Canis lupus familiaris: one gene and its partner. The protein of the gene in region 1 interacts with the protein of each later gene in a pairwise test. Links are inferred from orthologs where the notes say so. Each region holds a gene or a part of one and is shown on either strand. Other genes may lie near its edges.

The links.
Region 2: the proteins of DDX58 (region 1) and MAVS interact in binary tests that used the Homo sapiens proteins (3 or more experiments, as listed by UniProt). The link is inferred for Canis lupus familiaris from reciprocal best matches to the Homo sapiens genes RIGI and MAVS.

The regions. Positions count from the first base shown.
Region 1 is NC_049232.1:50,026,019-50,030,964, forward strand, and holds the start of DDX58 (antiviral innate immune response receptor RIG-I), read right to left. Parts: upstream 2,998-4,946; 5' UTR 2,830-2,997; coding exon 2,724-2,829; intron 1,200-2,723; coding exon 1,065-1,199; intron 1-1,064.
Region 2 is NC_049245.1:17,965,732-17,970,112, forward strand, and holds part of MAVS (mitochondrial antiviral-signaling protein), read right to left. Parts: coding exon 4,316-4,381; intron 3,654-4,315; coding exon 3,500-3,653; intron 1,627-3,499; coding exon 1,124-1,626; intron 241-1,123; coding exon 1-240.

The sequences.
Region 1 (4,946 bases):
GATTCTTTTTTCTGCACATCCTCACCAACATTTATTATTTCTTGTGCTTTTGATTTTGGCCATTCTGACAGGTGTGAGGTGACATCTCATTTTGGTTCTCATTTTCATTTCCCTGATGGTTAGTGATGCTGAGCATCTTTCCACGTGTCTGTTGGTCTTCTTCGGAAAAATGTCTATTCGTGTCTTCTGTCTTTTGTTTTTTGGGGGGGGGGGGGGCTTGCCAAACTTTTTATTTAGTATTTTGTAGTTGCTTAACATTCTGCCAATTTTTTAATCAGATTGTTTGACTTTGGGGCAGCCCCAGTGGTTTAGCACCACCTTCAGTCCAGGGCCTGATTCTGGAGACCCGGAATTGAGTCCCACATCAGGCTCCCTGCATGGAGCCTACTTCTCCCTCTGCCTGTGTCTCTGCCTCTCTCTCTGTCTCTGTGCCTCTCATGAATAAATAAATAAATAATCTTTAAAAAAAAAAAAAAAGATTGTTTGACTTTTTGGTGTTGAGTTGTATAAGTTCTTCATATATTTTGGATATTAACCCCTAATTGGATACATTTGCAAATATCTTCTCCCAATCAGTAGGTTGTCTTATTTTGTTGATGATTTCCTTTGCTGTGCAAAAGCTTTTTATTTGATGTAGTTCCAATAGTTTAATTTTGCTTTATTTCTCTTGCTAAAGTAGATCAATGTAAAAAAATGTTTCTATGGCTGATGTCAAAGATATCACTGCCTATGTTTTCTTCTAGGAATTTTATGGTTTCAGGTCTTACATTTAAGTTTTTAATCCATTTTGAGTTTGTTTTTGTGTATGGTGCAGAAATGCAATTAATTTTTGTATACTAATCTTATATCTAATAAGCTTGTTAAACTCTCCCAACAATCTGCAGATTCCTTTGGATATTTCAGGTAGGCAAATTATATCGTGATTGAAAGTAATCTTTACATTGCCTCAGATTAAGCAACATGAAGCACATGAGGATAGCTCAAAATTAATAGCATTTCACTTTTACCGCATTCTGAAACAGTCAGTTAATATCCTGATTTATGAGTAAGAAGAATGAACTAACCTGCATGACCAAGGGCATCCAAAAAGCCACGGAACCAGCCTTCTTCTTGGAGCTCCAATAGGCACTTAAGAAAAAGTGAGGCAGCCTCCATCGTGCCTTTATTGTTCTTCTCAGCCTGAATATACTGCACCTCATCTACAAATAGAAGAGTGGCTCATCAAACTGCAGAACCACTAATCACTGAAGAAAAAAAAAAAAAACCTGAAAAGGGTTGTCAGACTTTCTCAAATAGGGATGGCAAGGGACACCTGGGTGGCTCAGTAGTTGAATGTCTGCCTTCAGCTCAGGGCACAATCCCAGGATCTGGGCTGGGGATCGAGTCCCACATCCGGCTCCCTGCAAGGAGCCTGCTTCTTCCTCTGCCTATGTCTCTACCTCTCTCTCTCACGAATAAATAAAATCTTTAAAAAAAAAAAATGGGGATGGCGATTGTAACAAATCCCAGCAATGGAAGGAACTGCAAGAAGGCAGCAAAGTCTCTGTTCAGGCAGATGATGCTCATTCTTCATCAACCTACCTTCCCTCCACCCTGCATCCTCTCTAGAAGTTTCTTCTAGTTTGGTGGGAAGTCTGGGAACATATTCTAGGGCAATCCTTTAAAAAGAGAGTTTCTTAACAATGTGTGGAAAAAGTATACCCACAATAAAGGAGATGGGACCACTCCATGGCATCTTTAATTACACCAGACTCAGAAAGCAGAGTTAGAAATACTTTCATGGTCCTCTTTCCAGGTTTTTGCTTAGACAGTATGAAATATGGGAGAAAAGGCAAAAGGAGCTAAACACACACACACACACACACACACACACACACACACACAAGGCCGAGGAACAGAAAACTATCCACCAAACTGCTGGTGGTCACATGACTTTGTACACTAACTCCATGTCTGGGGCAATGACCAAATGGTTGCCTTCACATGTCCTGCCACTTGATATTTCCGCACTTGGAGCCTGAAAAGGAGTGACCAGATCCCCCTTTCTCCTTTCAGCTCCTTCCAGGCATCACCTCCTTTTTCCTCTTTCCTCAAAGCCTCTGTTCCTCTCCAGTGCAGTGCACCTGGATTCAAATTAACAAAGATCTATCATCAGGTGTCTCCAAAATCTAGACAGAAACACCTGAAATGAAGCCGGCAGCCATTCAGCCCAGAGTCTCTTACCCCTGGCAAGCTTCCAGTAATTCCTAAGTGCAGAGAAGACTCGGCAAGAGTCACTGTCAAAGTCACTGTCAATTACCTTGAAGCATTTTGCAATCATTTACATACTCAGCAGTCTCCACTCCCACAAAATCTTGGGCTGCAAAGTATTTTAAAGAGGGGCCTACATCTCACTCCTGAATCTCTATTGTCACTACAAAGCTGAAGACACGGTAGACATTAAGCATTAGAGAAAGTAAAATGGACAATGGTTTGTTTCCCCCTTCTTGAACCTAAATAGAGGTGCACACCTACACAAGTCATTTCCCTTCTCTGGGGCTGTTTCTCCATCTGGACCCCTAAAGGCTCCTCAGACTGTCCTGGCGAACTCCAGGCTACAATCCTGAGGATCCTGCCTCAACATCCGCGTTCCTAGCATGCTACTTGTGTTGATTAAAAGGGGAGAACAGAGTCCTGAGTGGTTTCCTTGCTCCGAGGGGCAGGCGTCCCTGGGGACCACTCACCATCCTTAAACCAGGGGGCCATGTAGCTCAGGATGTAGGCAGGGTCCAGAGTCTTGATGACATAGTCCCGGAAGGCGTGCAGGTTTCGCCGCTCCTCGGCCGTCATTCTGCAGCTCAGCTCCCGGGGACGTCCGCACCTCGCCCGCGCTCACTCCCTTAAATGCCTGTGCCGGGCTTGTAGGGATCTCAGGCAGCGGACGCAGACCCAGCGCTGAGAGGCGGGGCCGCCGCCGGGGAACCCCAACTGCGGATGGGAAATCGAAACCGCAACTGGCGGCCGCGGGCCAGGGGTGTGGGGGTGCGCGGCCGCTGCCCCGCCTCCCGGGCCAACCGCACTCTTCCCGAGCTTTCGTTTCGCGTCCTCCGAGTGCCTGGCTTGCCAATCTGGAGGCGCCCGCGACCGGGTCCCTCTGGGTCCTCCGGAAGGACCGAGGACAACCCCCCGGGAACTTTTCTGATTATCATTTTGGGGTTTTTCCCCCCATTTTGCTTTTATAGCAAAGTTTAGATTCAATAAAATGCGCAAATTTTAAGTGTACGATTCCATGAGTTTTGAAAAATGTATATGGGTGGTAACTGCTTCCCCCAGGGCGTGTAGGTCCTATGGTAAGTGAATGTTTAACTCCACAGAAACCTGCCACCCGTTTTCAAAAACAGACGTACCGTTTTGCATTCCTAGCGGTAGACGAAGAGATCCAGTAGATCTACATTGGTCAATTTGCCATCATTGTCTATCAATGTGGTTTTGACTTTAACTCCTCGAACAGTTAACGTGAGCATATTTGCATGTGTTTATTGGCCATTCATCTTCTTTTGTGAGGCATTTGTTCCCATCTTTTTGCCTGATTGTGTTTCCTTTATATTATAGATTTACAAGTTATTTATTCTGGAGATGAGCCCATTGTCGAATGCATGTATCCCACCCAAATACCTTCTCCCAGACTGTGACTTACCATTTCATTTTCTTAAAAGTGTCTTTCAAGCAAATATGAAATGATACAAAGAAATCAAATAGGGTCCGAGACAGAAAATAATGGAGGTTGGAAAAAACTATTTTAATACAGTGGTAAAGGCATATATATCTCTGGGTAGGTCACATTTCAGCTGAGTCCTTAAAAATGGGGGAGGAATTAACCAAAAGAGTAGGAAGAGAGGGATTCTACGCAGGGGGATAGAGAGCACAAATGAATCAAAGAAAAAAAAAAGGTGAACAAGGGATAAATGGCATGTAGTGTTGCTGCATTGGTAAACAGGGCCTTGTAAGGCAAGGGATAAAGTACAATAGGAACACATAGCAGGACTTTAAGGAGTAATTTGATCACATTTTTAGAAAAGACTTGCCCCCTGGCTCCTATGCAGAACAAGTATCAATGAGAGGAGACTCAAGAGATGATGGGATCACAGATAAGGACAGTAGACATGGAGAGTGTAAGAAATGAAATGTTTCAGATATACTTTAGCAATAGGAGTGAGCAGCAGTGGAAAGGAAAGGGGGAGGGGACTCAAAGCTACATTCCAGGCATCTGGTTTGAGCAACTAGAAGAATGGTAGCACCGTGACTAAAATGGAGAAGACAGGTTTACAGCTTAGTCTAGTCCAGCGTGGCAGACAGACAAAATATATGAGTAAGTTCAAGAAGGAGAAATAAATAAAGCCAGATAAGAGAATAGAGTCGTGAGGGCTGCTTATATCAGATGAGCTAATGAGGGATGACCTAAATGAAGTGAGAGAGCAGGTCATTTGGGTGAAAAAGCATTCTACTAAACAAAGTGCAAAGGAGAAGGAGAAAGGAGGAGGAGAGGAGAGGAGAGGAGGGGAAAGGGAAAGGGAAGGAAAGGGAAAGTAAATGGGAAAGGGAAAGGGAAAGTAAAGGGGAAAGTAAGTAAAGGGGAAAGTAAAGGAAGGGAAGGGAAAGGAAAGGGAAAGGAAAGGGGAAAGGAAAGGAAAAGGGAAAAAGCACAAAAAACCCAGGAGTGAACCAGGCCTGCGAAAGTAAAAGAGGTGAGCAGAGTTGCTAGAGTGAAGTGGTCTGAGGGGAGGAGAGGTGGCCAAGGCAGTTCACATACAGTCTGACAGACCACTGGACAACTTTGGCTTTGGATTTTATATTAAATATGACAGAGAACCATTGTAGGATTTTGAGAGGAAGTAGAAGATCTGTTTTTAAAGGAGCACTGTGGTTGACTGGAAGAAAACAAGCTTCAGGGGAACAGGCTGGATGCC
Region 2 (4,381 bases), on another chromosome or scaffold:
ATCCACCGACTGGTACTCATTCTCCTCTGGGGCATTGTCAGGCCCCGCGCCCAAGGACCTGCTGTAGCTGAGGGCCAGGTCCGCAGAACAGCCCGAGAATGGCTCACTGTCCACCTGGGAGGCCAGCCTGCCTGGCTTGCTCAGCTCCAACTCAGAGCCCCAGCCAGCAGAGCTACGGTCTAGGCCGGGCAAGCTGTCTCTGGTGGAAATGTCTGTGGGTACTGGAGCCGTTGCAGTCTCCTGGGAAAGAAAGGAGGGGCTAGAAGGGACTGGAGATGACTCCATTCCTGGCCAGAGTGTGAACTAGAATCCCAACCCTCTAATTTCCAGCCCATAGTCCAGTGAGGAAGCCACACCCTCTTGGAGACTCAACCCATTGATTCTGCAGGAGGGCAGTGGGGAAGGGGGGGCGGGGCCTGAGGCTCTGCAAAGGTATCAGTAGTGACTTCCTTCAAGGCACCCCTCTCCCTACTCCCCGGCCTGCCTGTGAGCTCACCCTCATGCCCTTCCCTGGGCCCTGGGTGGCTGTGGCATCATCCTTCTGTGACATTTTGCCTAGGCTGAGGGCTATGGAGCAGCCACAGGGTCAGAGGCCTGGCCATGTGCCTGAAGGGTCCAACGGACTTGGTTCCTCTGTCAGACCGCAGCAGCAAGGCCTCAGGTGCAGGCCCAGAGGGGGCAGCTGTGGGGGGCTGGGTCAGTGTGGCTCCCTCAGGCTGCTTTAATCCAGCTTAAGACTGCTGTCTGTAAAGCCCTGGTCACAGAAGGGCAGACTGGATATCCTAGGGGCAAAAATCAAGGCACTGAGGCAGACAGGCCACCCTGCTCTACCCATCACTGTTCCGTCTGCCAAACAGCACTGCTGAGTTTAACCAGGAGCTGCAAGCTCTAAACAGGCCACCCAGCCCTCCTGAGGCAGCAGCACTTAAGAGCTCTAATGATTATTAGTATTCTAAAGGTGGTGGTGTGGTGTCTGGACAAGGCTAGATCTCAGCTCTCTCCCTACACCCTCAAGAAGAAGCCATGGAACAGCCCAGGCTAGAGGCTGAATGGAGACTAGAAAGGGTCCAAGAACAGGGCTTGGGGGGAAAGCCTGGATCACTGCTAGAAGGGAGAGACTCACCCCTGAGGGTACGTTGCTGCTGATGCTGGGCACTGTGTTGGCAGGCCCCTTGCTGGGCACTGTGCTTGCGGACATCTTGTGGTCAGGCACCAGGCCAGCAGGCACTCTGGGGGGCACTGTGCCCGCACGTGTTGAGTTGATGGGCAGTTTGGACGGTGGTAGACTCGTAGTGGGCATTGTACCAGAGGGTTTTGAGCTGGCAGGCAACTTGGAAGGCGCCATCCTGTCAAATGTTGAGTGGGTAGGCACCTTGGAGGGTGCTGTGCTGGTGGTCAGTGCACCAGTGGACACCCCTGCCATGGTGGAGCAGATGGTGGCCTCACCATGGTCGCCAGCAACCCCTGCAGAGGCCGAGCCAGGGGAAGAGGAGGTAGTGCCGGTGGACAGAGCTAATGCTGAGGGTGCAGGCAAACGGCTGGCCCTGGGGATGGAGCGGCTCAGGGGTTTGAAGGAGACAGTTGGAGACACAGGCCCACGGGCTGACGTGAGGCCGGAGGCAGTGCCTACAGGTGGCAAAATAAAAGGGGAAACACAAACCACAGGACCGTTACCCTAAAATCACAGTCGCCTTGGGATCAGAAGGCTGAAGAAAAATCTCTATAGCCTAGCTCAAGTACCTACTGCATCCAGGCCTCCCAACCTCCCAGCCGTGGAGTCCCTCTGGTCATTGTACCCCAGGCCCAACGGTCCAACTACTGCAGGTGCACCTGTGGTCCTCTCTATCCTTAGTTCGGGACCTAAAACTGCATCTATTCTCTCATGAGAGTGAAATGATCCTTTCCCCTGACAGCATCTAGGAGTTTGCAGATCGTTAATTATCCTCCGCTCTTTCTTCTCCTGTCTGGAACACCCCCCCCCCCTTTCCTCCTGCGTCTACTCCCTAGCTTGGTACAATTTTGGATGCTCCCGCCTCTGCCACCTTCCCCTCCCCGACCAGCAGGAGCCATCCTGGACCAGGGCGAGGTGGCTCTAGTAGAAGAGTTCACAGTAGTCATATGGCACCAGAGGGCCCCCCAGCCCCAAGTATGTGCAAATCTCCCAGGAGGCCTAAGGACTCGAGGGAAAGGGGGGCAGGAACAAAGCCAACCTTGAGAGGAGGGCCTGAACTAGGGCAAACAGGAGGGAGCAGAGGATGATGATTACCCATGGAACCTCTGAGAACACACATGTCAGGCTCTAACGCTGACAAAGGCCTGGAGTAATTCGGATGTACCACCTCACTGCCCCCAAAACCTAACACCACAGAATCTTTCAGGACCCATGTCCATGCATGTCCTGATATCTAAGTGCCCTCTGCCTCCCTGGTCCACTTCAGTCCCCTGAAGCTCCCATTTCCTGAAAGGTGTTCTACTGCAAGCTGACACTGAACAGCATAAATGGGTGCTTGGGAAAGGTTTTTGGAGTGACATGGGCATAGGGCGCTAAGATGGCTTCTCTGAGCCTTTAACTGTTCCCGTGCCTTGTGGCTATCCCAGGGACACCAAAGGCAGGGAAGACCATAGTGCTCCACAGAACACAGTTTAGGAAATAACGATGCAGAGACATGCCAGCCTGAGAGGTCAGAGTGGACAGCTCTATATTCCCAAGGTGGGGGTGCAAAGATCTAGTGTGGGGGTCCGGGCCCTCACCTGATGAAAATAATACTTCCTCTGGGGGCTGAGAGGCTTTAGTGGTTCACTGGCAGCTAGAGCCCCTCTTGGGGCAGGGCAGTGCCTAAGGGTTCCCCTGCCAGGAGATGGCCCCGGCCTTCTGCACCATCCTACAGGTCCTGGAGAACCCCTGCAGTGTCAGTCCCCTTGGAAGAGTCCCTAATCCTTTTCCTCTAGCTATATCCACACCTTCTGCAATGTGAGATGGGGTCTGGCACCCTACTCCTTGACTCTGCTAGCCTCGTGCTTTGCTCTGGCCCACAGAATAAGGTAGGAGGAAAGCTGTCAGTTCTGAGCCTTTGTCCCAGGAGCCTGCTCTCTCAGAATTCTGCTCAGCTGCAATGAAAGAGACTTATCTGGTGAAGGATGAGGACTCACTGAAGCAAACCAAGGGGCCCCAGCCAAAAGGCTTACGCAGAGTGTGCATGTGTGCCAGTGTGTACACAAGAGGGAATTTAGCCAAGATCTGAAGAACTACTCTGAGCCAGCCCAAATTGCTGACCCACAGAATCAGGAGGGAAATAGTCCTATCTTAAGCTACTAGATGCTGGAATGGTTTGTGACATGCAAAATACTGATATGCCCTCTAAGGATTCGGGTTGCTCCCTGAGGTATATCCTCTTTATTCCCACCCTTGCCTCCTGTCCATGGAAGCCAGAGGGGCAACTCTAGTCTTCACCCTCACTGGGAGGTCAGAGAGGCCTGTAACTCCAGATTCCACACATACCTGCTATATGGGCACCGCCCAGCCCTGTATCCTGCTCCTGATGCCCACTGGCAGTCAGAGGGTTGACAGCTGCCATGTCAGAGGAGGGCTCCCGGGGGCCAGCTGGCCTTCTCACAGCCCCAGAATGGGGCATCTGGGGGACTTTCTTTGAACTCTGCAAGAGGGAAAATAGAAATGAGGCAGTTGCTTCTCCCAGAAATGGGCATCTCCTACAGGCCTCAGCCCGTGCCAAAAAGCACAGAAACCAAGGAAGCCCCTGGCCCTGGCTTTGGTCCTTGACAGACCCTCTGCCTACAGAAACCTACCTCATAGAAAACACAAACCATCCCATGGGGAGACTCTATTCATCTGCCTGCCCCATAAAAGGTCTCCCTCTCTGAGGCTGCTGCACAGACCCCTTTCTTGGACTTCAAGTCCATGGTCTGGTGTTTCCTGGACACACCCCATTGTCCGCTTATCACATCCAGATAGAATCAGTCATTTTCCCCCTGAATTTGACTTTGCTGGCAATGATAACTCCATCCATCCCCTTACTTCCAGCTTTCCCAGTATCCCTCCACTCATGGTTCCCCGGTCCCTCAATCTAGTTCAACATCTCATCACATGAACCAGTGCAAAGACCTCAAAACTGTGACCTCACAGCAGGTTGATAAGAGGGTTGGGGGCTGCCACAGGGTGAAGCCCTGGTCAGCAGTCTGAAAGCCAATTTGGAGCATATCTCCATTGAGGAAGCCCTGAGGTTCTGAGCAGAGATTAGGCATGATTTGTGATGGAGACACAAAAGCAGGGGGCCCAAAGTAGACTGTGAGGACGCACCTCTTCCAGGGACTCTGGTAGCTGGGTGTCCTGGACAGGCAAGGGGAAACTTGGCTCCTCCTCTCT